Diceros bicornis minor: one gene and its partners. The protein of the gene in region 3 purifies or fractionates together with the protein of the main gene of each other region. This does not show direct contact. Links are inferred from orthologs where the notes say so. Each region holds a gene or a part of one and is shown on either strand. Other genes may lie near its edges. The genes, in order: DCP1A, ATXN2, DDX6 and AGO2.

Evidence for each region.
Region 1: the proteins of DDX6 (region 3) and DCP1A purify together in Homo sapiens (affinity purification with mass spectrometry; 8 studies listed by BioGRID and IntAct, counting the BioPlex papers as one, with this or other methods). This does not show direct contact. The link is inferred for Diceros bicornis minor from reciprocal best matches to the Homo sapiens genes DDX6 and DCP1A.
Region 2: the proteins of DDX6 (region 3) and ATXN2 purify together in Homo sapiens (affinity purification with mass spectrometry; 6 studies listed by BioGRID and IntAct, counting the BioPlex papers as one, with this or other methods). This does not show direct contact. The link is inferred for Diceros bicornis minor from reciprocal best matches to the Homo sapiens genes DDX6 and ATXN2.
Region 4: the proteins of DDX6 (region 3) and AGO2 purify together in Homo sapiens (affinity purification with western blotting; 5 studies listed by BioGRID and IntAct, with this or other methods). This does not show direct contact. The link is inferred for Diceros bicornis minor from reciprocal best matches to the Homo sapiens genes DDX6 and AGO2.

Annotation. Positions count from the first base shown.
Region 1 is NC_080741.1:53,869,184-53,876,302, forward strand, and holds the start of DCP1A (mRNA-decapping enzyme 1A), read right to left. Parts: upstream 3,008-7,119; 5' UTR 2,984-3,007; coding exon 2,849-2,983; intron 1-2,848. UniProt on the Homo sapiens protein: Necessary for the degradation of mRNAs, both in normal mRNA turnover and in nonsense-mediated mRNA decay. Removes the 7-methyl guanine cap structure from mRNA molecules, yielding a 5'-phosphorylated mRNA fragment and 7m-GDP.
Region 2 is NC_080774.1:9,832,696-9,840,389, forward strand, and holds the start of ATXN2 (ataxin-2), read right to left. Parts: upstream 3,016-7,694; 5' UTR 2,726-3,015; coding exon 2,493-2,725; intron 1-2,492. UniProt on the Homo sapiens protein: Involved in EGFR trafficking, acting as negative regulator of endocytic EGFR internalization at the plasma membrane.
Region 3 is NC_080746.1:18,137,640-18,145,450, reverse strand, and holds the start of DDX6 (probable ATP-dependent RNA helicase DDX6), read right to left. Parts: upstream 3,010-7,811; 5' UTR 2,798-3,009; intron 2,751-2,797; exon of another isoform or gene 2,596-2,750; intron 2,293-2,595; exon of another isoform or gene 2,245-2,292; intron 2,109-2,244; exon of another isoform or gene 2,032-2,108; intron 1-2,031.
Region 4 is NC_080760.1:53,395,545-53,402,607, forward strand, and holds the start of AGO2 (protein argonaute-2), read right to left. Parts: upstream 3,019-7,063; 5' UTR 2,954-3,018; coding exon 2,932-2,953; intron 1-2,931.

The DNA of each region.
Region 1 (7,119 bases), on a different chromosome or scaffold from region 3:
CTAGGCCGCTGAAGCAGAGCACGTGAACTTAACCACTAGCCACTGGGCTGGCCCCTTCTTTTTTAATTTTATTTATTTATGTATTTATTTTTTTCCCCCAAAGCCCCAGTAGATAGTTGTATGTCATAGCTGCACATCCTTCTAGTTGCTGTATGTGGGACACGGCCTCAGCATGGCCGGAGAAGCAGTGCGTCGGTGCACGCCTGGGATCTGAACCCGGGCCGCCAGCAGTGGAGCGCGTGCACCTAACCGCTAAGCCACCGGGCCGGCCCTAGCTCCTTCTTTTCCTTTTTTAAATTTTAAAGAAGAAAACCCTAGAATTAGCTTTTACTTTTTTCTTTTCAATTTCAGGAAGACCGGTCCTAAGCTAACATCCGTTGCCAATCTTCCTCTTTTTTTTGTTTTGGTTGAGGAAGATTGGCCCTGAGCTAACACCTGTGCCACTCTTCCTTTATTTTGTATGTGAGTTGCTGCCACAGCGTGGCTGACGAGTGGTGAGGGTCTGTACCCAGGATCTGAACCCTTGAACCCCGGGCTGCCGAAGCCGAGTGTGCTGAAACTTAACCACTACATCACGGTCACTGGGCTGGCCCCAACTTTCACTTTTTAAAGCCAAAATGTTTTAGCCAAATTTCTTAATTTTAAAGCCAAGGTCCTGTGTACAGCAATTTCTTCACTTTTAAAGTTTATCAAAGTTAGTAAGATAAAAAAACAAAATTTTATCTTATAGGACACTTTGTTTCATCATTGGGGGATTTTCATGAGTAGCAAATTCCGTGGTTAGTTAAGAAATACTGTCAAAAATGCTTAGCTTATTTTTAGAACTTTGTTGAAGAATTATGAATACTGAAACTATACTCTGCCTTAATGTAATTACTGTAGGTCTTACATATAATTTAAAAAATTTTTTTTAGCTTAAAGTGAAATGTTTTGATTAAGAAAGTACAACTCATATCATCTTTCACTTGCTGTGATAAGAGTGTACTTAGGTTTTAAACAGTTATGATGTTTTAAAGAAACAAATAACCATAATAGTCTGCAGTTCACAGCCTGGATGGGACCTAAATATTTTAATGTAATCAACAAACTACTAGAAAACCTTAAATGTTAGTCATATCAAATTGAATTTGTTGGGATAAAAAATTTTAAAAAATATTTATCATCTTGATTTCTTCCAGGAGTATTGCCCTAGCTGAAATATCACATGAAACTTTTCCTTCCTAAGGATTCAGAGGCTTTTTCTTGCCTTTCAAATGTCAAGTTATTAGTATAAGAAATTGGTAATCAACTGTCTTACAGTGGAAGCAAACTTGCCCAAACAAAACACTGTGCAAAGTTACAACTCACTGTAAAATAATAAAGAAAGAAAGATTTTGGTTATGCTCTATGTGCCATGATCCAAATGAACGACAACAGCTTATTTTTCAATTCAGGTTATTAAAGCTTGTATTTCATATTTAAAATAGAACTCCACAATTAAAATTCCAAAATAATGAAAGTCTGTTAAAAACTGGAAATAAAAGCTTGCTGGTAATAAATCCCTGCCCCAAGTCTTCACCATTTGTCTGCAATCCATATTTCACAAATTTATAGGTAGACCAAGAAAAGAAAAATGATTAAGAACAATTCAAACTAAGGCAACGTCTAAAACAGCTACACTTAAAAAAATTCTATAACTTTCTTATTTGTGGCCTCCTATATCTCCTCTTTCAGGAGGTGAAGGAAAGAAAAAGTAAAGCAAGATGATTTTGAAAACTCTGTTCACCTGAATTAACCGTCTATAAATGCCAAATGATTTTCACAAAATTACTGATTAAATATAACCTATGTATCTGTATTATATTGTAAAGGACATATTACAATAACAATCTTTTAGAGTTTTGTTAACATAAAGATTTCATTTCTTACTGAAATGTGAACGTCAGTCACTCACGAATTCAATCCAACAAACATGTACGGATTATTTTCTAAATGTCAAGCTTATAGCTGAATGAGTTCATTAAGAAGGGTCGATTACGAGAAAACGGGAAATTATATTATTTAAACAACGAAAGAAGCTTCAAACAGGGGCTAACAAGTCACTGAACAGACTGAACGTAACTTTTCGGACCCCCTTCCGTGCAAAAAAGCCAAAAAGTACTTAGTCTGATGGGAGCATTCAGAGGTGACATCACCAGCAGCAGAGCTGAAAGGAGACACATTTACAGGGTCTCGTTTCCAAAGAGTTCAAAGGAATCCAGTTAATACGAAGCCCTTTTCCTAAGTGCCTTGAAATCTTCTCCAAAACTCGGGAAACACAGCGTAGTTCGATAAAAGCCGGATTTATCCCCACCTCCTTTTCCAAGAACTGAAACTAATTGGATTTCAAGCTTTCAATCCAAATGACCTCTGCGAAGGGGGCTCTTATTTATGTGTCTGTTGCGGGGAGAGCTTGTATTTACGAGGTGTTTACTTTATATGTTATGCATATGTAACTTATTTAATAACCCTCGAAGCTTCAAACAATCTTTCAGGCATCTTTCTGACCCCATCGGCTTCGTATTCTAAAACACACCTGCAAAGAAGGCAGGGCGCCCACGTCCCCGGACCCGACCCCAAGCGACAGATTCTCCTCCAATCCTCCCCTCTATCGGCTTTTCCCCCTGTCTTGGGCCTACTTCTCTCGCTCCTCTCCCCCGATCCAGGGCGCCCCCGACACCCCTCTGGCGCCGGCCAGGCTATTCTACAGTCCCTGGCCTCGCCTCCGTCGCCCTGGCCTCCCGCATCGCCCCCCACCCAGGGCGTTCCGCGCGGCCCCTTTAAGAGGCGGCGGCAGGGCGAGCGACCTCAGCGGCCTGGCCGCACTCACCCACTGGTTGGCCTTGGGGCAGAAGGTGTACAAAGCGACCTGGCCCGTGAGATCTGCGATGCTGGTGATGTAGGGGTCGTGCTGCTTCAGGGCCGCTAGACTCATCTCCTGCCCAGCTCGGCTCAGCGACTCCATCTTGAATTCCCGAGCCGAGCCCCTCTGGCGGGGGCGGAGTAGCGGACAGGAAGGTGCCATCGAAGCAAAGTTCCCCCAGCTGCGTCAGCGCCCTCAGCTTCCGCCTCTCCGCGGGGCCTGGCGGCGGGGCGGTACCGTAGCTATTACGCTCCGCTGCGCCCACGCCCCGGGCGGCGGGTTCCGGCCTCTGCAGGTGTTAGAGGCCCCGGTGCGGTGTGCAGGACCGCGTAGCAGAGCTGGCAGGTGGAGGTCCAGGTTTCCGCGGGCTAAAACGTCCCGGCGCCGGGATCAAGGCTGCCCAAGAGCTTCCTCCGAGCTCCTTCCGGACGAGGCTGGAGACGGACGCCGGGCCTGCGTCGGCTCGCGCACGGGAAGGGCCCGTGGCCTCAGCACGAAAACCCCGCTGTGGCCCTGCAGGGCTCCACGGGCCGTGTAGAAAGCTCAGAGAAGCGGAGAGGGGGAGCGAGGGAACCCAGAAAGTTACCCCAGATCTCGCATCTCACTAGATCACCACCTTAGCAATGTCGTGTTTTTCTGAAGGAAATTTTTGAAAAAGGCCAAACTAACCTGCCTGTAACTACACAGGAGTGTCTTGTGCTGTTCACTCTTGCTGCTTATTTTCCTCGTCTGAATCCTACGGAAATCTTTCCATCCAGTCTTGAGAAGAGTCCGTGGAGGCTTGAGTTTGTCGTGAATCGTTTAAAGCTTTAAAAAGATAACTCATTCTTTTAGCAAACAGCGAAGAGCCTGGTACTAGCTGAAGCGTAAAACAAGGTGTGGAGACTATAGGGAGCTGTCGGGGGAAGAGGGAGAATCTCCCTCTGCCCTTTCCCTTAAGGTTCTTCTGGCTGGCCAAATAATCAACAAGATAGGTTAGCAGGAGAAAATAATACCAAGTTTAATAACACGTATACATGGGAGAAAGCAGGGACACTGCGTTTCTCAACACAATAGCAGAAATTCTCGTCTTAAATATCATTTTCAGCCAATGACAAAGGAGGATTTTGGGGGTGGGGGGAGTCAGTTACAGGAGATTACCACTAAAGCACAGTAAACAAGAGTAAGGTTTATTATGTAACTCAAGGCCTCACCTTCCACATTGATAAGTCACTAGAAATGAGCTCATCCCCCTCTCTTCTCCAAACAGAGAGGGAGATACCTTCACAAATGGAGATTTCCCTTATAAATGTAAATGATTGTCTGGCAACTCCTCGCAGGGTTATCCAGAGAATGTGGCCAGAGAGACAGAACTTCTGATAAGAGGGGCTTGTTGGTGCCTTTCCTATTGTAACATTTACCCTACGTTATCTTTACAACCATCATGATAGATCTGTTCCAGAAAGGAGCCACCATGTCAAATTCTTTAGGCAGTTAGTGGGGGAGGTCAAATGTCCTTCAGAGAAAACAACCAAGGTAAAGAGATAGATTTCAGGGTGGCCAAATCTTGATCTCCCACAGATCTCTGTTCCATGTACACTCCCCCACCCCCACACCCGGTTGTTGTTGTTGTTTAAAACATTTTCTTATGTTGAAAAGATGCCCTAATGGAATTGAACGTTTTTGAAAGAAAAAGCCCATAATATTTGTATTGTTTATGATTTTACATCCATTCATATCTTACATTTTTTGCAGAATCGTGTCAACACAAACGATTCATAATCAAAATTCGGGTGAGTTTATTATGAGCCAGGCCTGAGGACTATAGCCCAGGGCCTGCCTTCCCCAAGGAAGGAAGCACTCTTAAGAAGTGGGATGTATAGAGTGGTTATATACTGTCTTGGAACAAAGAGCATATGTTACATATGATAGGAGTATCTCTTTTACTACTGTCCTGAGATGCTTGGCTGGCACAGCAGGTCAGTGGTCACAAGGTGAGCACAGCAAGTTGATAATCAATCCTTAGTTTCTAGAAATGCCAGTATGGGGGGAAGTTACATCCTTATCTCTAAGGGCATCATTCTTGTCTTTGGTATGTAGTAAATGTTTAAAGCAGACATACAATGCATGATCAATAGGCCATGTGAGGCAGAATTAGTTTTAAACTAAATGGCTTCCTCATATACTCCAATATATCCTATTGCTTTTCATTTATTTATCACATGTAAGAAGTGTGTACAAATGCAGACAAGGAAACATGTACCATTCATTCACTGTTCATTAAGCAAGTATTTATTTATTAAACTTCTAATTGTGAACTGTTAGCCCTTGGGAGCTTCACAGACTAAGACAACTTCCTGCCTGTGGGAGAAACTGAAAGAAGTAGAACAATGTCAGGAAACTGGGACAATGCTAGAAACATTTCTCTTGAAACCCAGAGGATGGAGCCACTAATGTCATCTGGTCAGGAAAGTCTAGGAAGACTTCATGGGGGAGGTGATGTTTGAATCAGTGCTCCAGGGATGAGTAGGAGTTCATCACAGAAGAAGGGCAAGGGCTCCCTTTCATTTGACAGTCTAATGGTGAGGTAGGGAAGATGTGGTCATCCTCACTTGGTAGATGATTTCGTTGAAGCTGTGTGGAGAAATCACTGGCTCAAAGTTCCACACTAGTCAGGGAGGATCTAGTATTAGAATTCAGGGACTCCTGCCTTCTACCCCAGGGTCCTTTCCTCCACACTATGGCTGCCTTTCTTCCTCCTGGAGACAGAGCCCTACTCCCCTCTACCTACTTTCAATCTGTACCCTGATTTAAAAAGATATATATGTATTTTTTGAATAGGTAATACATTCCCTTGGTACAAAATCCAAAGGCACACATGAAACTGAATTTAGGTTTTTTTCTTTTTAAAAAGTTATTATTTTTTTATTGAGGTGTAATTGACATATAACATTATATGAGTTTCAGGTGTACAACATAATGATTTGATATTTTTATATATTGCAAAATGATCACCACAATAGCCCAGTTAACATCCATCACCGTACATACTTACAAAATTTTTTTCTTGTGTTGAGGGCTTTTAAGATCCACTCTCCTAGCTGCTTTCAAATATGCAATGCAATATTATTAACTATAGTCACCACGCTGTACATTACATCTTTGTGACTTATTCATTAGTTTTTTTTTCTTATATAGATTTCCTAAAGTAATCGAAGACATTTCCTTTTCATTTATTATTTTTGGTTGAATAGGGATAAACTAGTGAAGAACCCCAAGCTATTTTAGGGAGTTTTCATATTTGGAATAGAAAATTGCTTCAAAATGCTTGTTTGCATGACCCAAAAACATTAGTGTTGACTTTAATGCCCTATGCAGCTCTTAAGATATGTTAAAGAAAATGTGAACATTTTGGAATTGAAAATCTTCTTGTTTTACTTTGGGACCTATTTTTGCCTTATATTTGTGAATCAAACCTTAAGAGCTTTCTTGTGTCTTTTAGACAATAGGCTTTGAGAGGGCAGAGATTGCATCTTAGTCTATTAAGTCTCCAGTACCTAGTACAGCCCATGGCAAAGAATAGACTCTCAGTAAATATTGGTGCATGAATGTCATCTTGAAACTCAACTCCTTTAAGGCCATGACAGAGACTAGAGGGAGGGGAGGGGAGATGAGTGGCTGGGATCAGAGGCGGGAAAGAGTCTAACTCTGCACTGAAAAACCTGTGGTCACTTTTGAGTTGTGTTCCATGAATGTCAATTTTTTTAAAAAATATTTTTTAAAAAATAATTTAAAATATGACAATCTAAAAAAACCCAATCAATCCAACCCCACCTCTCTTTCATTCTGAGTGCCTTTGTGGTAAAAAACAAAACTTACCATTTAAAATCATGGGGTCTAGGGACTGGCCCAGTGGTGGAGTGGTTAAGTTCGCATGCTCCACTTCGGAGGCCCTGGGTTCGTGGGTTTAGATCCTGGGTGTGGACCTACACACCACTTATCAAGCCATGCTGCAGTGGTGTCCCACATACAAAATAGAGGAATATTGGCACAGATGTCAGTCCAGGGACAATCTTCCTCACAAAATAAAATAAAATGAAAAATAAAATCACAGGGTCTAAGGTAAAGGACACTAGAATACAAGTCAGAAGATGAGTGTTTTAGTTCCAAGTTTACCAGCTGTGTAACTTTGTCAGTCAGTCACAGACTTCCCATTTCTCTGGTGTAAAATCCAAAGTCCTTGCCTTGGCCTAGGAGAC
Region 2 (7,694 bases), on a different chromosome or scaffold from region 3:
CAAGTAAAGACAGAATAAATTTTTGAAAGCCAAGAAAATGCACTATTCACCAAAAAGAATCAAATATGATGAGACGTTATATTATTTAAAGCAGACGTGTATTTCTAGACTTTCAAGAATATTTTGCCATCTCTAACCATGTCAAACCCAACGCTGCACTTCCTTTCTTCACCCTTGGTCCCAGAAACTTATTTTAACTGTTAATACAAACATAAGTGAGACTCTAGAAACTGTAATGGCTTACAAAGAACCCAGTAACAGTGATCAAAATTGAAAGGAATTCTACAAGTATATTAACTGAAGATCTGTACAAGAACAAAATTTCACATTATATGAATCCAATACATTAAAAAAAAAACCCCACATATTTACCAAAAAGAATAAGGGCCACAATTTATGCCTCAAGTAAAAGAACTTAAAGGGAGGAGGAATCTAAATTAACCCTAAATGTTTGCGATGCCTCAACGAACAGAAAAAGATCTGTGGTGCTACAACACTCCAAATATTTTTGATCACTCCAGCCGTTCTGGAACAGATTCTTGACAATTTTTAAGCCTAACCAGAGTGGATGCAACGTAAAAGCTTTAGTTCTAATTTTTAATTATTTGAACAAGTTGAATATATCTGCCAGATTTCTGATACCTAAGAAGGAAAAAATGGTGCATCCTTTTCTATAAAAATTACATATAAAATTTTTCCATTTTTCACTATGGAGTTGCAGAATCCTAAATGGAAAGAGCTGGGAAAATAAGCACTTCATTTGAAGTAGTTTGACTAGGTAGTAGTCTGTGGGTGCTTCAGAGAAGGGGGAGTCTGGGAGTGGGGGGGAGAGCACAAGTCAAAAAACCCATGTTCCCCCTCCTCCCATCGAAGGCAGCAGAATTCCTTAAAAATCAGCTCTGATTCATCCTGATGGGTAACTTCTCCTGCCATAAATGAAAATTCTTTGGAAATGGATTGCTGAAAATCGGTTTTCAAAAACAAAACTTACTGCATGAAAAAATCCCCTTACCCCACCTTCTAAAGCCCAGAATGTCTATTTAAGAAGGATCCTCTTTACTGACCCTGCCAACCCCGCCTAGACCTAAGGGAGGCATGGCAGTCCATGCAACACGGATGGGCCCCGGGGCACCGGGGAAATGGACTCGCGTGCCCTTGGAGAGCTCTGGCGGCACTCCCCAAGTTAAGGACACTGGCCACAATGGAATGGAGTCCATTGACATTTGTTGCCCCGTTTGAACACTAAGCATTTTCCTAGTTCGTGAAATACGAACTGACAACCACCCCCACACACACACCCCCAACAGGCCTTCCCGCACAAACACACCCGCCAGAGTCAGACCCGGTTAGCTGAGAAGACACTGAGCCCCCAGTGGTCTCTACCACAAACCTGGGTTATGGGGGCAGGAGGGGGAGACGACGCAAGTAAACATCCGCATTTCTGCCTCCAGGAACCCCACGATGCCCCCTGCTGCAATCCCTCTCCCCTTGAAATTTCAAAAATTGGGGCGGGGGCTAGGGAAAAATGCGCAACATGCCAGCTCCCTGCCCCCGCCCCCCACAATGTCCCCAGTCCGGCTGGGCTTCTGCAGCACGCCGGGGTCCGACCCTCGCCCACCGCTATTCCAAGGCGACTTCTCCTCCGCGGCCTCGGAGCAGCAATGCGGCTCGGCCGCCACCCGCGCCGGGGAGGCCTCGCGGGGGAAGGAGGGAGGCCGGGCGGGGGCCGGGCCTCCCCACCCCGTCCTCAGGTGGGGAGGGCGGGACGCTGCGGGAGACAGCACAGAGCCCCACGATTCCCGAGGAGTTCTGGAGCCTCGCCGACGCCGCGACTTAAATGGGGAGGGGTGCGGGGGGCCGCTGCCCACCCCCTCAACCTGGCCCTTCCATCTTCCCGGGGCGGGGAGGCGGGTGGGTAAGGACACTGCACAGACCCTCAAGACTCCAGAGGAGCCCTGCGGCTGCCCCTTTAACAGGCAGGGGGGACGCTGCCCTAACTCTCCCCCCTCCCTCGTTATTCCCCAATGGGGGAGTTGGCAAGTTTCGGGAAACGGAACCAAAACCTCAAGACCCTTCCACGTTAACATCCCAACTGGGGGTGGGGGCGCTGCCCAAGCATCCCCCCCCGGGGGCGGAGGAGGCTTGAGAAAGGTATAACAGAGCTGACACTCGCCGAGACCTGTGACCCCCTCCCCAGCACTTAAACGAGAGGGGGAGGCGGCCCAGGCCTTCCATCTTGACCGTTCGGCGGAGGGGGTGGGGATGTTGCAGGACGCCGGACACCGCCTGACATTCTCACAGGGAGCCGGCGGCACCCCCACCCCCCGCCCCCCCGGCTCTGGACGGCAGGGGAGCCCCACCCCCACTGCGGGCCCCCAGCCCACCCCCCCGGGCCGGCCGGTCACGGGGCGGGGACGGCGGTGCGGGCCGCGGGGGAGGGGACGCGAAGCCAGGCCGGCTCGGAACGGAGGGGGCTGGGGCGCGACACCCACCTGCCCAGGCCGGGCCGGCCGCCGCCTGCGCTCGCCGCCGCCGCCGCCGCCGCCGCCGCCGCGGAGGAGGAGGAGGAGGAGGAGGAGGAGGAAGCCACGGCCGAGGACGACGAGACTGAGGACGAGGACGGCGGCGGCGCGGCGGCGGGCGACGTGAGAAGGCCGCCGCTGGGCTTGCGGGCATTGGCGGCCGCAGGCTGCTGCTGCTGCTGCTGCTGGGGCTTCAGCGACATGGTGAGGGGCCCATACACCGGCCCGCACGCCGGGCGGGGACAGCCGGGAGCCGGGCGCGCCGAGGAGACGCCGGAGCGCGGCGGGGACGCGCGGGCGCCGAGCGGGGAGGCGCGAGCTGGCGCGGCCGGGGGGGCGACCGGGCCGGCGAAGGGGAGAAGGACGACGACGAAGGGGCGGGGAGGCCCGCCGAAACCGAGGAGCCGCCGGGAGCCGGGCCGGGCCGCGCCGCCGCCGTTGCCGTTGCTACCAAAACAGTCTGAGGCGGAGGGAGGCGAGCGCTGCCCGGAGGGAGGGGGGCCGGGGCCGGGCGGGGGAGGGGCGGCGGAGGGATACGGGCCCGGAGCCGCGCCGCCGCCGCCCCGCCCGCTCCGCCGCGCCGGCGGCGGGAGCGAGCGCCGCCCGGGCCACCTGGCCGCGGCCAGGCGGCGAGGCTCGAGGGCCGCCGTGGGGCTCCGAGGAGCTGCGGCCGCCGAGCGCATCGGGCGCCGGGCCCACAGAGGCGCCGCGTGGCGATGCCGGGTGGGCGCGGACGTGCGGGACGGGGATTCTTTACCGGAAGTCGGAAGGGTCGGGCGGAAGCAGAACGTGAGGCGGCCCGGGGCCGGGAGGGACACGTGAGGATCGGGCGCTGCGCTGGGCCGCGTTCGCGGGGGTCGGGTGAGGGCCCGGCGGCCGGCCCTGGCCGGATCCGCCCTCCTCGAGGCGGGTCTGCCTTTCAGAGAGGGCGTGTCTGTCTTCGCCTGCAGGGCCGGCCTAGCGTAGAGGACCGGAGGGAAGCGTTTCTTCCCCGCCTCCCGCCCCCCAATAGTCCATCAACGTCCTCGCACGGCTAGGAGAATCCGAGTCCGCCCTCTCGTATTTGAGAGAGCGAGACGGAGACTCAGATATTATCCGTGTGCAACAGGAGGTGTCGGCCACTGCACAGACACCTTGCTCAGCCCCCACCTGATGCAACCTAGAGGATGGACTGGAGTGCTTTCTGGGCGCAGACTGCCTTGCTCCGTATAAAGCACCTAGAACACAAGCATCCCACAGTTTTCTTTGTATTCCCAGCAGCTGGCACACAGTAGGCTCTCACGTGTCACTGGGTGTCTCAAAGGCAGGCTGTCCTCTCTTTCTGTACCAAGAATGGCAGTGTTGGAATCGAGCCACTTCCTGGGGCCACCCAGATCTGGTTACCTTTTGCCCACTTTTTTCACCCCAGTAACACAGTAACTGGAAAACTTTTGGGTATCTGACCTTCATTTGAACCCATTTCCCCTCACTTGGACTTCTTTTTCCTCATTCTTGAGACTCAAAAGGAAATGTACATGATTGGTAGAGTTATGGATAATAGCGGCTCCTTCGGTGGAGACAGCACAGACCTCACAAGAAGGTGCGCGCTTTAGACCTTGGCCCCTTTAGTTTTACTTTAACTTAGGTTGGTAGCCAGCACAGTAGTCCATTTTTTGACTGTGTTGCAATTAAACTGGAAGCAAGTAGATAACTTTTTGATTGTTTTGAGTAAGGAATCTAGTTTTTTAAAAAAGTGTAACGACTTCAGGAAATAGGAGGAAAATACCAAAATTCCCCTCAATCTCCCAGAATTGTCAGATAAAGGTAAAAACAGAAAAATTTGGAGAATGCTTAAGCCACGAGTCTCCAGTAGCCAAATTGAAATTAATCTCCAAGATAGTTCAGGCAAAAATGATCATTATATTCTGCAAACACTTGAAAAGTAGGAAATCAGCTTTTCTCCCAGATGAGGTAAAAGGAGGTTGAAGGAAAAAAAAAAAAAATAGTATTCTTTTAAACCAACGTTTGCAAAATCCTTTAAAAATTAACCCAAAGGAAATTGAGACTAAAAAAACGGATGAGGAAAAAAAAAATAGAAGGGCCATAATAGAAGTACAATCAACTTTCTCTGGTTTAATTATTTGACAGCTATATCTGGGACCAAGGTCCCAGAGTTCAATCTCAGGACCAAATTCCAGACAAATGGGAGGAAAAACAAGTGGAATAAGAAGGCCTGAGGCTGACGTAGCTGAACTTGATTTCATTTACGCTGAGAAAGCTCAAAGTTTCATCTACTATCACTGAAAATATATTGTTAACAGTTTTATTGAGGCATAATTTACATATTATGAAATTCACCCATTTTGTATACAATTCAATGATTCTCAGAAAATTTAGAGGGTTGTGAAACCATCATCACTAATTTCAGAATATTTCCATCACCCCAAAAGGATCCTTCATACCCATTTGCAGTGACTCCTCGTTCCCATCCTCAGCCCCAGCAACCCCTAATCTACTTCCTGTCTCAATGGATTTATCTGTTCTGGACATTCCGTATAATTGGAGTCTTACAATAGGTGGTCTTTGTCTGCTTTCTTTCACATGTTTTTGAGGTTTATCCACATCGTAGCACGTATCAGTGTTTCATTATTTTTTATCACCATGTAATATGCCATTGTATGAATATATCACTTTTTGTATATCTATTCACCAGTTGGTGGACATTTAGGTTGTTTCAAGTTTGGGGCTATTCTGAGTAATGCTGCTATGAACATTTGTAAACATATGTCTTCACGTGGACATATGTTTTCATTTCTCTTGAGTAGATGCCTAGAAATGGAATGTTAGATAGTATGGTAAATTTATATTTAACTTTTTTAAGATACCATCAAACTCTTTTCCAAAGTGACTATACCATTTTACATCCACGCCTGAAATATTGAGGGTTTATCATTAAAATTTGATTTCTGCTTTTATATTAAAACGGAAACCAAGAGAACCTCTACTATCTATTCTATTTTATACACTTCCCCATTTTTCTTTATGGAAGGAGGATCACCACCCAGAACCAAAAAATATCTCTTACTGCAAACCCCTCACCTGAATTCTAGACCTCTGAAGATGTGGTTATTTAACAGCAACTGTGATGTCAGAGGGCTTTAGTTTTATATGAAAAGAAGACTGGCTTTTGTTTTGGACTGCCCTCTCTCACTCACTTGCTTTGAAGAAAGGTGGCTGCCATGTTGTGAGCTGCCCTGTGGAGAGGCCCACATGGTAAGGAACTGTCGTCTCCAGCCACAGCAGCAAGGACCTGATGGTGGCCAGCAGCCAGGTGAGTGAGCTTGGAAGCAGATCACCCCCCCCCCCGCCCCCCCCCTCCCCCGTCAAGCCTTGTTGTGACTGCAACCCTGATCGAAGCACCTTAGTAGGCCTTTCCAGAGACCCTGAACTAGAGATGCTCAGCTAAGCCACGCCAGATTCCTAACCCTTTTGTTGTTTCAGTCAATAAGTTTTAGGAGAATTTGTTACACAGCAATAGATAACTGATACAGATGACCCCAAAAAAAAGTGCATTTCTGGTGATTTCCATGTGCATTCAGAATTCTTTAAAGACAAATGAAGTCAGGAACTAATAGTATATCCAGTATAAGTTACATTTTTGAGTGCTTCCCCCGGCCCCAATTTTCAGGCAGCCATTGTTGGTTTTGTTTAAAACCAACAAGTGTTGGGCCGGCCCCGTGGCTTATCGGTTAAGTGATCGCGCTCCGATGCTGGCGGCCCGGGGTTTGGATCCCGGGCTCGCACCGACGCACCGCATGTCCGGCCATGCTGAGGCCACGTCCCACATACAGCAACTAGAAGGATGTGCAACTATGACATACAACTATCTACTGGGGCCTTGGGGGAAAAATAAATAAATAAATAAAATTATTAAAAATAAATAAATAAAACCAACAAGTGTTGCTGAAGAGTTGTCATCAAAGGCCATGAAAAACACTGTCCTGAAAGAGTTCTGATATTGAGAAGTATTTCTAAAATATAAACTTCAAAAATAGCTGTGGCCGTTTCAACCACTATTTCAGAAATGAAAGTATCAAGTGAGAAACATATAGAGAAAGACTTTCAAACTTGGGAATCTAGTCTTATGGATTCTCTACTTGCTTTCTGATTTTCAATGACCCTTCAGCAAGGCACATGGCCCTTTAATTTTCATCACTTCAATGATTAATCAAGTCTGAGGATGTGGAGATGAAAAACTGATGTAGCCATGCAAAGCAGAAATGCGAAGAGTCATTTGCTATCACACGATACAGCAGCACACATCAGATGATCCAGTATTTCCAGCAATTCATTTTTCTGCAATCATTTCTTTTCAGCTCTCTTCATTCGATCATGTTTAATGTATGATGATACATTATTCACTCAATACTCTTGATTTTGCTTTCAAAAGCATGAAAATTAATTCAAATCAGAACTAACATGCACCCCCCCCAAAATCCATCCTCTTCAAGTTTTTGCATAGACCAATCCTCACTTAAAAAAAAAAAAAAAAAAAGAGCAGATGTAATTTCAAAAATAGGACCATGGCTAATTAAACCAGTGTTTTTTTCTAACCATGGTTACTCAGAATTCTTAGAGGCTAATCTATTTGTAGACACTCCAGGAATCCCAAAAGGCTAAAAGCAATAAAAAAAAAAAAAGAGAAAGTGTAAAGTGTGGGGTGCTTCCAGGAGGGCATTATGTACACACCTTGTGTGCAAAGTAACAACTTTCCCATAGGTTTGAAAAAACTGAGGGGGGGGTGGCAAAATAGTAGGGAACACAGCAACATTATTTGAAAAGCTTTTAAATGAGCCGTTTCCTCCACACGAGCACACTTCTGGTTGTTAAGTTGCTTAGTGTTTTTTACCTTGTGGGACAGAATAATGATGCAGTGACATTATTCACAAGGCAAAAGCTGGATGCCAGCTGAAATCGACACAGAAGAAAGAATTCTTTATTTTTCATTGGAAATGCTTGTGCTGTGCAGAGCTAGAAATTTAAAGAAACTCAGCCTTTTGTTCTTCCTGGTTCTCCCTTTTTGTTTTCATTCACCCCCTTTTTGGGGTAAATTTTGTGGGCAGGCTGTTATTTCAGGGCCCACAGATTTACGGAAAGCCAGAGATTTGAAGTATGCGCCATTTGGAGAATGCA
Region 3 (7,811 bases):
TACGTGAGCTTTTGACTTTATGCTTTCAGAAAAAACAAATTGTGCCCCTATGAATTTCAATTACAGAAGTTAAACTTGATGAAGAAAAATGCATTTTCTTTTTTCCCCAAAGTTTTTGCCCTTTAAAACAATAACTGAAGCAGGGATACAGACGTGCATACGTCAAAATTTTCTGACTTGAAAACCAGCCAAAAAAATCTTTACCTACCTTAATAAAATCTGAATACTAAAAAACTATTAGCTACATTTCAATATAACACTTTTCAAAAAGTATATCCTAACTTAAAACAGCATTACCATTAAAAAAAATTATAAACACACAAAAAGGAAATTACCTGTGTTAAAAAAAACTGTGAACAGCTAAACACACTAGTAACTCTAATCAAACTTTCCAAGAAAGCCAGAGTACCAATAGTTGTTTCCAAAACGAACTGGTCAACCTCCTCCATTTTTAATTATTCCTAAAATCGAATTCTTATTTTAAAATGTAGTAAATGAAAACTTAATTTACAAAGGCCTACTCTGTTGGGTTTGTTCTTTTTTAACTCCTTTACATTTCTTGCCAAAAAATACACTAGCTTATTAATTAGTGTTATTTCTGCCATACACCAAGGCTTCTCAAACACTAAAATTTTTCTCAAATACTCCTTCGGTGTGTCTTCCTTTTTTTAAAATTGAAGATAAAGTTGCTCACAAGCAAATCCTGATTATCACATACACAAAGCTGTATATTTGGAAGTCTCCCAGAATGTGGCTGGCTGAAGCAGACCGTGGTTAACAACCACCTAATTTCAGTTCAAGGCAGTAAATGGCTTCCTGTATTGACAGGTTTATATTATGATCAACAATATCACGTAGCTGTTTGCAAAGCACTAAGAGGATGAAGAGGGCAACCTCTAAAGATTAAATGGTATCATTACAGTCCATCATGCAAGACCTCATATCTCCCTAGATCCAAAATGTGACTGTGATAACTGCTCCTCTCTTAATTAAAATGAAACCTGCACTGCAGCTTTATGTCTCAGAGAAGGAAACATTCCTCCTACCTCTTCTCAATTTAGATTTGCAATTTAGATTTTCAAAAATACTAACGAAAACGTAGACTACTTGGGAGGAGCCCCTTGCGGAGTTAATTGCAGCACTTCCCAGATTGTAGTTAGCAACTGACAGTTTCAGACCCAAAACAGTATCGTCATCTCCAACAAAAGCTTTTGTTTGCAAATGCAGCGCAGTTTCTCTAAGCTTGGTCTGCAAGTTGGAGTGACTGTTCTATTCTGAGGGCAAAAGGGACTGTTAAGAGAAAAGGGAGTGAGCGTTAAGGGAAAGGAACAAGCCAATGATTTGAACCCCGTAACTGCAGGGCAGTAATTTCTTACTCCCCCCGTCCCCCAAAACACACACTTCAAGTCAGCTCCCTGCGACCATAAACACAAAAGGGTTGGGGCCCTACAATCGAATCTGCGCCACAGAGCAGGGAACCAGCCCCGCGGGTCGGAAATAGGGACTTCCCCTATAAGGCCCCAAAGAGAAATCTTAACTCAGAAAGCCCCTCCTTTCCTCTACGACTTGGGGCTCCATAATCACCCTCTTGTTATCGACCTACATACAAGGCCTTATTCCGATCAAGCAGCTGCCGGTCCTCTTCTAAACCGAGCCCTGCAATACTGCATATCCCTGCCGCCCCCTATAGGGCCGCCTCGTACCCTATAACCTCCACCGTCTCCCGAAGTCCTTGCCGCCCCCTATGGCCCCACATTCCCTCGTCTTCTACGAAGCTGCTCCAAGTACTTCGCCCGCTCCTTATCCGGACCCCGCCGCCACGACATCCCCATAGCTACTCCCCTCAGCGCCCCCACCCCACACAGCTGCCGCCCGCCGCTGGCCTTCCTCCCCAGGGCCCGGCCAGGCCTCAGGCCTCCGCCTCAGAGCGCCTCCCACGCCGGCCGGGGGGCTTTCCGCAGCCCCAGCGGCACCGCTGACCTCGACCCCCCCATCGCACCCCAATCCCCGAGGCTCGGGTCCGAGTCCTACCCCAGAGGCCACTCCCGCTCGGCACCCTCAGTCCTTTATTGTTGACTCGAAGCTCCCAAAATGGCGGCGGCTCCTTCCTCTTCAGAAACCTCCGCCCGCCCCCACCCGGCCCCTCGCCTCTGCCTCCGCCCGCCCCGCCCCCGCCCTGCTCGGGGGGCCGCTCAGCTGAGGAGCCCGAGCCTGCCGGTTCCCCGGCCGGCCGGCCAGCCCTACCTCCGCCGCGGCCCGCTCTCATGGCGCCGCCGAAGTCGCCGCCCGGGCTGAGCTAACTCGGCTCCCCTTCCCCCTCCCTCGCCGGCCCGCCGCCCGTCCCCCCCCCCCCCCCCCCCGCCGCCCTCTCTCCCTGCCTCTCCGCATGGCGGCGGCCGCGGCTCCTCCTCCTCGCAAGATGGCGAGAGCCCAGCCGCCGCCGCTGCCCCCGCCGCGGCGTCACAGCGTCTCGGGCTTCGCGGCAGGAGCAAGTCGGGCCGGGGCAGCTCCCTGAGAAGAAAATGGAGGGCCGTGCTCTCACTGCCCCCGCGGCCCCGCGGGCGCCCGAGTTAGGGACAGTTGAAGGGGAAATACCGAGTTCTTCCTGAGAGAAGGGAGGCCGCCTTTTCCACAGCTGAGGAGAAACGACTGGGGGATGGGGAGGAGTCCGCCCGGCCTTCGCCCCCTCACAGTGGGAATCGGGGGTCGAGACCAGAGGAGGATCTGCTTATTCCTGACCAAGGGGGCGTTCCGAGAACGGCCTTTCGGGGACCGGCTTGGGGACGGGAGAGCTGACCTGCCATCTCCCGTGGGCCCAGGAGGCTGCTGCAGGAACAAGGGGGCCGCGTCCGAGCCACTCCGGGGCGCGCCTCCGTCCAGGAACGCGCGGAACTAGTGGCCCGGAGGCACCGGTGGGCGCCCGGGTGTGGAGGGGGTATGGGGGGCCGGCCTGGACCGGAGGGCACGCCGGGGTTGGGAGGGGGCGTACAACCGGGAAGACCCTGGAGAGCACGCGGGGGCGGGCAGGGGAACGGGGTGCGCTGCGCTGGGGGGTGGGGGGGGGGGCGAGAGGGCGTGCCGATGGGCGGCCGAAGGGGAGGCCCGGGCTGCGAGGGCGAGCCGAAGGGGGAGGGGGCTGTTAGGGGAGGGCCGCGCCGCGAGGGCTCGCTGGTGGCGGAGGGCGGCCGGCCGGGAGAGCGCGCCTTGGGGAGGAGGCGGGGGCTGGGGCAGCGACCTTCCTTTCCCGGCCCCGCTAGGCCATCCTCAAAGAAAGGGGCGGGGGGGGGGGGGGAAGGCGGGAGAAGCCGGGCCTCTCCTAAAGGAGGGGAAAGCTGCTGAGGAGTCAGTTGTAATGGAAATGGAGTTCTTTAAGGAAATGGGGAAGCAGAAGGCTGAGGGTGATTCTTTCTCCTCCCTGACCCTCACTATAAAGATATGTGTTTGTTCCCATAAATACTTTTCATATCGTAATGTCTCCGTTTATCCCTAACAGAAATAACAGCAATGCTGTCTTGCTCCAGGTAAAACAAAAATTTAAAGCTAGAAAGCTAGCTAGGTCAAGGTAAAATAAAAACTGTTTATAAAGGACAATGCCACACCATATGTTACAACAGAACTCCGACCCACAACCTCTGCAGCAACCAGCTCGGGAAGCCAAACCACAGCCTCTGCAACGATCTGCGCCGAATCGGCAGGACTGGGTCGTTGACGGCCAGCTTCCCTAATTTTGCCCCTGCTTCCAACTCGGGACCAATCAGAGAGAGCCAAATATGTTCCCCAAACCAATCATATGAGAAGCCCCGCTTCTAGTTAGCCCGCCTCCAGCTTCCCCATGCCAACAGTCTCCAATCAGAGCGCACCTGGAGCCTGTCCCTTTTTTTTCATTGCCTGCCTGTGAGTCTTTACCAAACCAAGTGAAGGTGGCCGGCTCTCGTGTTATATAGCAAGCTCTGAATAAGTAGCCTGTTCTCATTTGGTGATCTTTGTTTATTTCCGCACAGCCAATGGAAAGTTGGTAGAAAAGTGTGAAAAGGCTGGTCTTACAATTTTTTAAGTTCTAGATTTGTAGCATGTCATCTCCCACCCAGATTTTAAAACACCCACTCCTGTAAGGGAATAACCCTGCACCTTGTGCCCGTACTAGAGAGAGGATAGCTGGATGGTTCCTTATTAAAATGTTAAAGCGTGAGGCCTTGTTTGCCTCACTGTCTTTCTAAGTAGCAGGAATGTGAACGGGAGGAGGGCAAGAAGTCAGTGGGAGGGAGGGGAACCTAAGGATTTAAAACAGGCCACTGCCTGTTAGGGTGTCTTTTCCTAGACCACTTAAGAAATGAGAGCAGGCAAAGAAAAGGGGTTTGCATTCACCAATATACTCTTACCTTTCAAAGGGGCCTGATTGAGGTCATGACAAAAACAAAAGTGAGGAGGCAACCTAAAGTAAAATATGAAATAGCTGCCCATTCTCACCTAGGAATCCTTCCAGGGCTAAAACCTTTACAGATTCTGCGTGAAGTTCTTATAACATAGTCAGATATCCTTATAACTCATTTATGTCAGCCCTTTTCAGATTTCTGATGAGAAGCATAGATGGTCTAGAATTAAGCTATGAACCCTTGGATATTTTCTTCTGGGATCAATTTTAGTATTTGATAGGTCCAATCCAACTATCTCAATACCTTTTTTCTCTCTAGTTCATGCAAATTAACAAGAATCATAGAAAATATGACACATCAGGAATACAGATGTATTATTTAATAATCCACACAACATCCTTATATTTATAAAATGTATATTTAAAAAATATTACATAAATCCAATCCTTTGGCCTTTAGTTAATATTGAGTATAATGGTTTCGGTGATCTGTGGTGAATATGGTTTCTAGAGGGTGTGCTATCCCCGGTGAGGTCACCTATTAATTGTGGTAAAGTGCTTCCCAAGATGTATTGGCCATTTTCATTTTGTTTTTAGTCACTCATTTCCCCCTTACCCTACTTTTTGTATTTTGAACTATGAAGCTAAAGTGTTAGGCCTAGATTGTTGGCTGGCTCCTAGAGAATCTGTCTGTAGGTAAGATATTTTAAAAAAGAAAAAGGTTCACAAATAGAATTGAGGTTTTCAGTATCTGTTTAAAACACAACAGGACTCCTTTTTTTTTGGTGAGAATGGGATGCGACTAAAAAAATGTTACTTGGAATTCAATCACAATAATGGGTCCTCCCAGCAAATATTGTTTGCCAGTCTCACATCCTATCCTCATTTATTTACCTAAAAATAACTAGAAGCAAAAAAAAAAAAAAAACAACGCAGGTTAACTTACACTTGATTTCATTTTAACTTTAATTTACAATATTTAGAATATAAATTCCAAGTAATTTGAATCTGGAATATGTACATCTGTGATACTATCTTAAAAACCCAAATGTTTTCAACATGCTAAAATGGATTTCACACTTTTAACTTTATATAATTAAGGAAACATAATAGCTTTTTTTAAAACTCAAACTACTAGCCATTACCCAGAAGAAAAAAGATTTGCCCGTACCATAATCTCAATAAAATGATTATATCACACCTGGCTAAGCTTTATAGTACAGCATTTTCCCTCTTTCATGATTTACAGTATAATATTCTGATTTTCCAAAAGAAATTTCAGCAGGTAAAGTTCCTTTCCAAATGTGCTTCAGCAATATCTGATAGTCACTAGCCAAGAGTAAAGGCTAACAAGCCCAAGGAGCTGAGTATCATTTTCTTTGGACTTCATAGCAGGCCAAAATTGCCTCTTCAGTTTATACACCTAAAGAAAATGAAGCAATATCAGCCTACTGAGGGCTTAGCAAAGATATCCTCAGAGAGGTGCCAGTACTGCACTGAAGTTAATGCATACTAAGCGGATGTCTTTAATCACTGAGAGACCTCACCAGGCACATTTTGTTGGAATAAATGTTACACTTCCAGAGTAAACTCAAGTTGAAGAGTAGAAAAGGAAAATTACAAACAGGGAGGAAAATGGGGTTAAACACGTTTTCCCCATACTGCCAAGTTTAGTTTGCAGAATTTATATTCCCTTTGACAGATAACATCTCCCTATTCCCAGGGCACCACAACCAGCCAACTCAGCTCGCCAGATGTCTTTTGGCCCCACCAGTTTTCAGCATTGTTTATGTTCTAGTCATCACCCAGAGAATTCCAGCTATTCATTTTGCCTCTTCAGTTTTCCTAAAAGTACTGTGCACCAGCAATTTTAACTTATTCATTATTATGAACATAATGTGTGGCTGGGAAGACACTGGAATCTGGAAACTAGTTCTTTAGGTATAAATTTAATTTGGTCTACTCAGATCAAGAAAGATCTAACACCGTCCCAGTGTATGATGCTTTGGTCCCGTTGGGTACTTTCTGAGTGAGTTCAGGGGTGGTTGCTGATGGGTAATGTTGATGGGGGTCCGTGACAATCTTATGGAATTGTCATGGTGTTGGCATGTGTGTACCATGCCTCCTTTATACCCAGGACCTTGTAACAAGATTATATTTCTGAATAGCCTTCTCTACAGGGATAGCAACAATTGTGACCAGGTGTCCAGTTCAGGTTTCCTTCCACTCATCAATTTGCAGAGCCTTTTATTGGTCTTTGAAAATAGAATTGTGATCTTAGGTATGAACCCTGGGAAGGTAGTTTATGGCTAAAGAGTGGGCAACCTCTTCAATCCTGAGTGCCATGTTTGGATTAAGTGACATCTGTGGCCACCAAGACAAGACAGGGAACAAAGGGAGAAAAAAGTATTTCAATGCAGAGGTCTTCTCAGTGACCTTCCTAGCTCTTCATCTCCTTGATGAATTTTAAAGATTACTCTTTATCATGTCAACCACCCCCTAAATAACCCTTTAGTGTCTCCTAGTTTCTTTTTACCACATGGAGTCTACACTCCATTGACAGATGGGGACTGCCAATGTGCCTACCCCATCTAATTTCCCACTCTTCCTCCATCCTCCAATACATTGGTCTGCTAAGAGGAGAACATTCTCTAACCTTCCATTGTTTCCCTTAGAAACCCTCTCATCTCCTTTCCTCTGGGCCTATCTAAAGCCCATTCAAATCCTAGCAGATTCCCACATGCAACTATCTTTTCACCTTCCCAGTCCCATGCTCCTGCCCAGCCAGCGCTCGGGTTCTAGAGTCAGTTGGATCTGGGTCAAATCCTAGTTCTGTCGTTTATTAACTCCATAAACTTGGGAACCTTTCTGAACTTCTGAGCTTCAATTTCTGCATTTATAAAATAGGGATAATAAGACCTAGAGCTATGTAAGAGTAAATGAGAATTTGTATAAATCACTTATTTTAGTAGTTGGTAGACAAATCACTTGGTGTTGCTATTATTACTTTATTAACTTTCATCTGAACCTGTTCTTATTCTGTCAGATTAGAGCCTATTCTGTTAGGTTGGCCAATTCAATTATTTTTCCCCAGGCTCTATCATCTCTTACTTCTTTAGCCTAGTGCCTTACCAACCTCAGTGAATAAGTGCCACTCTCTAATTTCACAGCTTCTGTTCCAGGAGTGTTGGTGTTGGAGAGAGCTGTGTAACCAGGCTGATTGGCTCAACAATGAATTCCTGCTCCCACACCTCAGCGGAGCCCTTTTTGTGGCTCTGCAAGCCTCTTACTGGTGGTTCTCAATCATGGCTGCTCATTAGCGTCAACACAGGCGCTGGTGCCTGGGCCCCATCCCAGAGGAATTAAATCAGAATTCTTAGGGCTGGGAGTCTGGCATCATTTTTTAAGGCTCCCAAGAAGATCCTAATGTGCAGCCAAG
Region 4 (7,063 bases), on a different chromosome or scaffold from region 3:
CTAGAAGTTAACAAAAAATATTCTGCTTCGTAAAACCATACAGGTTTTAGGAGTCAAAGCTTTGACATCGTTTTTTCTTACACGCTTATTTAAATCGTTCTTCATTTATAACAGATCCAAGAGGACTCTGCCCAACTCCCCAGCCATGCCTTCCGGCAGCAGGCAGCAGCTTCACCAGGGGCATCTGCTGCAGCGAAGGTGCACCATTATCAGGGGCCCCCATCATATCTCCACTGAGATAAAGGGGGGTGGGGTGAGAAGTTGGTTGTGGGAGGAGTTAAATGGCACTAGAAGGGACAGCGAAAGTCCATTACTCTCAAAGTCACAACCCTGTTTAGACAACTCTCAAACAAGACTTAGATGTTAACAGAAGTTAACTACAGAAGTTACTTTGTAGCAAATCTGTCAAGGGTGTAACACACAGGAATTTGAACACAGTAAAATGAAAAGAAACAATCTGCTTGGAGTAGGCTATTGCTCAGACACAGTTTAAGATCTCTAAGTGGTTTAAAAAGAACTAATGTTCATCTATGAAGGTTCAGGGTCACTGAGAGTCTACCCATCCTAAACCACTAACTCCTTGGAACAGTTCAAAAAACTAAGAAACAGTAACATACCTAACTTTAGAATCCAGATATTAATTCACATCCATAATAGCATCTGTAATGGGAATATCACAGACCTATTGTCAACTCTATTTTTTAAATTAATTTACTTAGTAATTTGCTTAATAAGTGTATTAAAATTGGAAGTAGCAAAACTACTTGTAATTTCCCTACAATCCAGATTGAATGTCTTTTCATTATTCTAAATTAGGAAATATAAGATTAAGAAGACTTTCGTTGAAGAGATTCTATTCCAAAAATTCCTTTTCAACAAAATTAAAAGCCTCAGTGTGTAGAATAAAATTGAACTGTACCACAGCCTTATAACTACAGCACACTTGTACAGCCCGAAATTTGGGTTCATTCCCATCCTGCCATTAGCTAAGAACTATCCTACAGACCTATTTATTTTTTCAACCCAAGCTGTCGGACTCCAGGGCTAGTTCATCTGTGAATCGTGGGGCCCCACCACAATGCAGAGACCGGCACCAGAGCAAGATTCTTCCAAAAGCTGTTAGGGACCAGAAATGAGCCTGGAGATCCAAAGGCTTGAGGCATTTTTAAAAAATGAAACAGACGAGAAAATATGCCCACAAGGAGCACACAGTAAGCTAAGTGTGCTTCCTGAAGCTCGTTTCCATTATTCCTGAGCGAACGGGTGCAGTCCAGATGTAACAGGTATTTCCTACTGTGGGTCAAGGTCAAAAGGAGTGACAGCCACTTCTCTAAGGAGAGTGTAGAAAAAGGCAGCTTGGGATCAGACAGATCGTCCTAATGCTCACTGGACATATGACCTTGGCAAGGTTGTTAACCTCTCTGAGCCTCTGTTGGCTCTACTCACTCAACTAGGTGAGGGACTACCCTGCCATTTCACGGGTGGGGTCGCTGCCAGCCCACAGTCTCAAGAAGCCAAATCTGCCCCCAGGACTGTGACAACAGAGCCCAGGGCCCTTCCCCACCAAGGCTGAGTCACCTCTCAGGTGTAGGGTTAAAACCATTCTTCAGTCAAATTGCTGAGAGCCCTTAAAAGTTGATCAGGTTCAGCCTGGGAGCAGCTTTCTACGTAACATCGGAAACAAGACACTCAGAACTCACAAGGCATAGAGCTGTTTGTGAACAGACACAGCGCGGGACAACGTCAAGGCCCCCGAGTGGATCAGGAAGGGCTTCCAGACTCCCAGTTTGGAGCAGGTCCCACCAGGGCCCCATCAGCAGGAGGCCCCGGAGGGCCGGGAACCTGAATGCACCTAGCACGGGGCCAGGACCAAGCCGGGAGCACGGCGGGGCCTGCAGCCTGCTCGAGCTGGCGGACAAAGAGGCGATGCCCCGTCCAAGTGGCAGGGCTAGCCGGGAAATTTAGGAGCCACGTGCCTGGCGGGATAGGGGGGAAAAAGCTTTACAACACTTGACCATTCTCTTGGTCCAGCAAGTCAACCGCCCTTCCACTCTACATTAAGGGAAAAAAAAGTGTTACTGCTTTAAGTTTTTAGAACTTTTCCAAAGAGAGAGAGGCTGACTAGTAAGAAGGGGTGCTAAGGAGATCCACACATCTCCTTACCTTCTTCTAGTAAATTGTAAAAAGCAATTAGCACTTGAATAAGGAGCCGGCGTGTCTGGAATGAAAATGAGATGCACGCACTTTCAGGGTTTTAGGGTGCCGCTTCCTGTCCCTCAGTCTACAGTCCTAACTACCAAGAGGAATTGGCCAAAATTCAGCATTTCCAGACTTTCCTTCAGAAAAGGGGCCGCAGAAGTGCTGGCAAAAAGAAAAACGAAACTGAGTGCGCTCCAGGCTCGCCGCGGCTCGGTCTGGCGCCGGAGCCGCGCGTCCCTCGCCCGCCGCCCGCACCCCGAGCTCGGCGCCCCGACCGGGACTGACCCCCGCGGGCGCTCACGGCCCGGGCCCCGCCGTCCCGCCGTCCCGCCGTCCCGCCGCGCGCAGCGGGGCCCGCGCTCCGGGCGCAGGAGGCGGCGGCCGCGGCCGGCAGGCGGGCGCGCGGGCCTCGGGCCTACACGCGGGCGGCCCGGAGCGGCCCCCGCCCGGGAGCCCGACGCGCGGACGGACACGGGGGCGCGGGAAGGGCCCAGGCCGCGCGGGGACCCCGACGACTGGAGCCCGAGGAGGCCGGGCTGCGCGGCGGCGGGGCCGAGGAACGGCCGGCGGCTCCGGCCCCAGCGCCCCCCGGGCCGCCGCCGGCCCCCGCCGGCGCGCCCCCGGCCCCGGCCCCCGCCCGCCCCCCGGCCCGCCGCCCCGGCCCCCGCCCGCGCCGCGCTCGCGCCCGGCCCGCCAACCGCCGCCGGCGCCGCGGGGAGCGCGCGGACTCACCGGGGCCGGCTCCCGAGTACATGGTGGCGCCGCCGAGGGGCTCCGCGGCGAGGGGCGGCCGCGCGCTCCACGGGCCCCGACGCCGCGAGCCGCGAGGGAGCCGCCGGCCGCACGATCCGCCCCGGCGCGGCCGCCTCGCCAAACAGGTCTGCCCGACACGGCCGGGGCGGCGGGCGGAGGCGGCGGCGGGGGAGGGGCGAGGGAGGAGGACGGAGACGGGGAGGAGGGAGGGGCCACGGGAGGGGGAGGAGGAGGGGGACGAGGAGGGGGACGAGGAGGAGGGAGGGGCGACGGGGAAGGACGCGGGAGGGGGAGGAAAGAGGGGAGGGGGGCGAGAAGGGAGGGGGCGAGAAGGGAGGGGGAGAGCGAGCGGAGGTGGGAGGGGGTGCACGGCGCGGGCGGGGCGGGGCCGGGGCGGGGGCGCGGGAGCTGGGGGCGGGCCCGGACGGGGACTGGGCGGCGCGGGCCGGTGTGGCGCGGAGGCCCCGCCGCGGGGGCGGGCGCGGGGCGGGGGGACCCCGCGCAGCCACTCGGAGGAGCGACGTCTCCTCGGCTGGGCGGAGCGGGCCAGCGCGGCTGTGCTACCCGAGACCGGGAAGAAAGAAAGGAAAACACACCCCCGTTTCCCCCGCGTCTCCGGCGCGCTTGGGGAGCGCGTTCTGGCTGCTCGCGCGGTGGGTGGTGGGGTGCACGACCCTTCGCCACCTTCACCCCCACCCGCCCGGGGGAACTGGGGCACAGTGTTGGCCTGGCCTTGGAGTCCGCGTCCTGGCGCCCCAGCATCTCAGCCGAGCTTTTTTTTTAAGTTATTAACGAAACATGAACGTCGGGAAGCTTCCTCCCGACCCGGAGCTTGAACTTGAACGCTCCCCGGCCCTTGCATACTACCACAGCGCCACCTCCCGGCCAAGAACCCAGATAATCCATGTAAAAATAGTATTACGTTTTTGGTAGATTTCAGCTGCTATCAATGGTGAGCTCAAACTAAAACTCCCTCTTCCGGCGCTCAGGGGCCTCCCCACATTCTTTCCCTGGGGCCCTTAGCGGACCCCATCACGCTCCTCTGCATTTCTGTTCTCTCCCCACGTGTGCCAGAACGTTCTCCCCTCTACCCAAATCCTCCTCCATCCTTCAAGTCTCCCTCCACAGGTTTTTGGAGCCTTTTCCAGGGAAACCAGCCAAGGATTACCTCCTTTCTCCCCTAATTAGTGGGTGATTAGAAGTCAGAGGGTGAAATAAAATCCAAAGTTGGTCATCATCTTTTTAACATACTTGCCTGCTCATTCCTAAATCCTATAAACATGTATTATCTGCATATTGGGTGCAAGGGACTGTGTGTTCCTCAGGCCTAGAGTCATACAAAGATGAACAGGAGTCCTGTCTGCAAAGAACTTAGCATCCAATAGGTTTATTACTTGTTCTTTGCAATCCTCGAGGACATCCCTAAATAAGTGCAGGAAAAGCAGCCTTTCCTCCAGAGAGGAACTTGCAAGGATATCCATCTTCACCAAATCATTGATGTGAACGGGATTCCATCCCATGGCATCGCCTCCAGGAAGCCCATCCATCCTCTCTAATTATCTGCCCACCACCTCCTGGACCGCCTGAAAAGCCCCTTACTGCTCTGCACCCACCAGTCATCTGTGAACACAAATCTGATGTTGTTCCTGCTCTGCTGGGAACCCTTTGTTGACTCCCCATTTCCATCTGCATGTGGTCCAAAATCTTTAATTTGGTTTACAGTGCCCTGTGTGACACAGCCCCTACCTGCTTTACCAGAATCTTCCACTTCACCTTCTTCTTCAGATCCACATCCTCACTTTCTCAAGAGTGTTACTGTGGGAGTGTGAATTAGTACAACCATATTGGAAAAAGAAGTTTGGCAGTGTCTGTAAAAGCTAACCACACGTGGCCCTAGGGAGATAGGCTGCTGAAATGTGGGTTTAGAAGCACAGCAAGCCCGGAGAGGAATGCACACTAGCACAGACCTGGGTACCACCAAAATATCCATCGGCCATTGAGTAAGTAATAAGAGCGATATATATTCATGAAGTGGGATCTAGTGATGAAAATGAACACTCTTCAGCCAAGTGCAACAATATGGATGAACCTCAACAATGTTGCGTGGAAGAATCCATCAGCCATACTGCATGATTCCGCTTACAAAAGTTCCAAAACAGGCAAAATTGAACTACGTTGTTTAGGGACACATAATTAAGTAGCAAAAAGCTAAAGAAAAGCAAAAAGGTAGTTTCCCATAAGAGAATGATGGCTACTGCTGGTGGCGGGCAGTTGCTGTGACCAGAGAGGTGGGAGGCCCTTTGGGGTGCAGGCTCCTCCCTGTAATACTGCTGTTCATTTTGCACATCTCTTAAGCTGTACATATTTTATATACTTTTCTGTACCTTTGCTACGTTTCACAATAAAGAAATTTAAAAATAATAATCATGAATGTTATTAGTCTCTTATTTATGAGCCACGTGACTGCCAAGGGCCCACTCTCTGTCTGCCTCTGTCTCCCTCACACATCACCATCCTGTTTTCTGCCCGAAATCACTGAACCACTCAGAGGCTGTTTGCTACTGTAATCTCTAGCCTCAGAAAACGCCCAGAAGGCTCTGTAATTGTGTCCCTCCAGCTCCGCCTTCTGCTTTTTTGAGCACACACACTGGGTAACTTTGTTGCAAGGGTTCCTTTGCAGAAGGTCGAACAAGATAATGTCTCCTCAGCGCCTGATTGTGTGGCTTCTCCGCGGAGACGGAACATTCGAGGCCCCCTGCTGGTGAAGCAGCGCCCTCGCTGCCTGCACCGGCCACCTCCAGGCCTCCCCGGAAGCCCAAGCAGTGTCTGAGTTGGAGTTCTCCCTCCCCCGCCACTAGCAGCAGGGTTCTCCTTTGTCCTTTTCTAGATAAGTCCACCTCTCCCAGACATCCCCTTCTACTGCTGGTGTTGAGGAACCCCGCCCCCTTTCTGCAGCGCTCCTCCTCCCACCCACCCCCAAGCTTCAGGGCCACAATGCCAAACCCAGTTCATCTTTTCTCACCTCCTCCCAGTCTGCCCTTTCCCTGTGTTCCCGAGCATGGCCAACAGATTCACCATCCACCAAAGAAACCCCAGGCCCCTCTGCCTTCTGCCTCTCCCGAAATCGCTGACTCAACTTAACCCATTTAACGGGGTCCACTCAATTCTCGCTGTGAAATGTCTCTAGAACCCTCTCCAACCCATTGCTGCTCTGCTCCTCCAGGCCTTCATCCAGCACTTGCATGTCAACCACATAGGGCCGACTCTGAGGCCAGTCTTTCTCCCAGATACAATTCATTGCTTTGTATTTGGGGATCCCTATGCTCTGATAAGACTGCAGGAAAGTAATCAGAGCCAGAGACCCCAACACTGGTCAGCCCCAGGTTTGCACATTGGGTGCACCCAGTCCAGAGCAGAAATGCCATAGGAAAGGCAAAAGCTGTCACCTTTGGGGTCCCTTAGTTTCTTCAAGACTTAAATGTGGGCACCGGAATAAAACAGTTGATCCAAAAACATGTTCTACATGTGATAAAAGAGGGGTTAGGAGGTCAACCAAATTGGGAAGCATTGAGTGCAACAACACTAAACAGATTTATTGGCTGCAGACCTTCTCAGAGCCTTTAACAAAGTATTAAGAATCATGATTCTACAAACAGGAAGGAGGGGAATAGATGGTATGCAGTCTGTCCCAACCCACTTGGCCACAGAACCCTTTAATCACAGGGTACCTTCAGGTTCCAGGGAACACACTTTTGGGAAACACTGAGGTAGAGCTCTTCTATGATGCCTTCCAGTAATAATGTTCTAAGATTCTTTGAATAAAAGTATTGGCTGTTTTTCTGAATTAAAAACTCAAGAGCATGGCTGTGAATTGACAAATACTTCTGTCATAGTAGGAACAAAATACACATCTAAGCAATTTCTACACACTGAACCCAACATTAAATGGAAACCACTTAATTTGAATACATAAATCACTTTGTCATTTTGTGCACCCAACAGAGGCTAAATCAAGAACTCTGAAAATGCAAGCAATCAGAGCCACCTCCTTGCACAACCCCAGGAGGCCACTGACACAACAGTGCTGCAGAGGGTGTCATTTACTGGCATA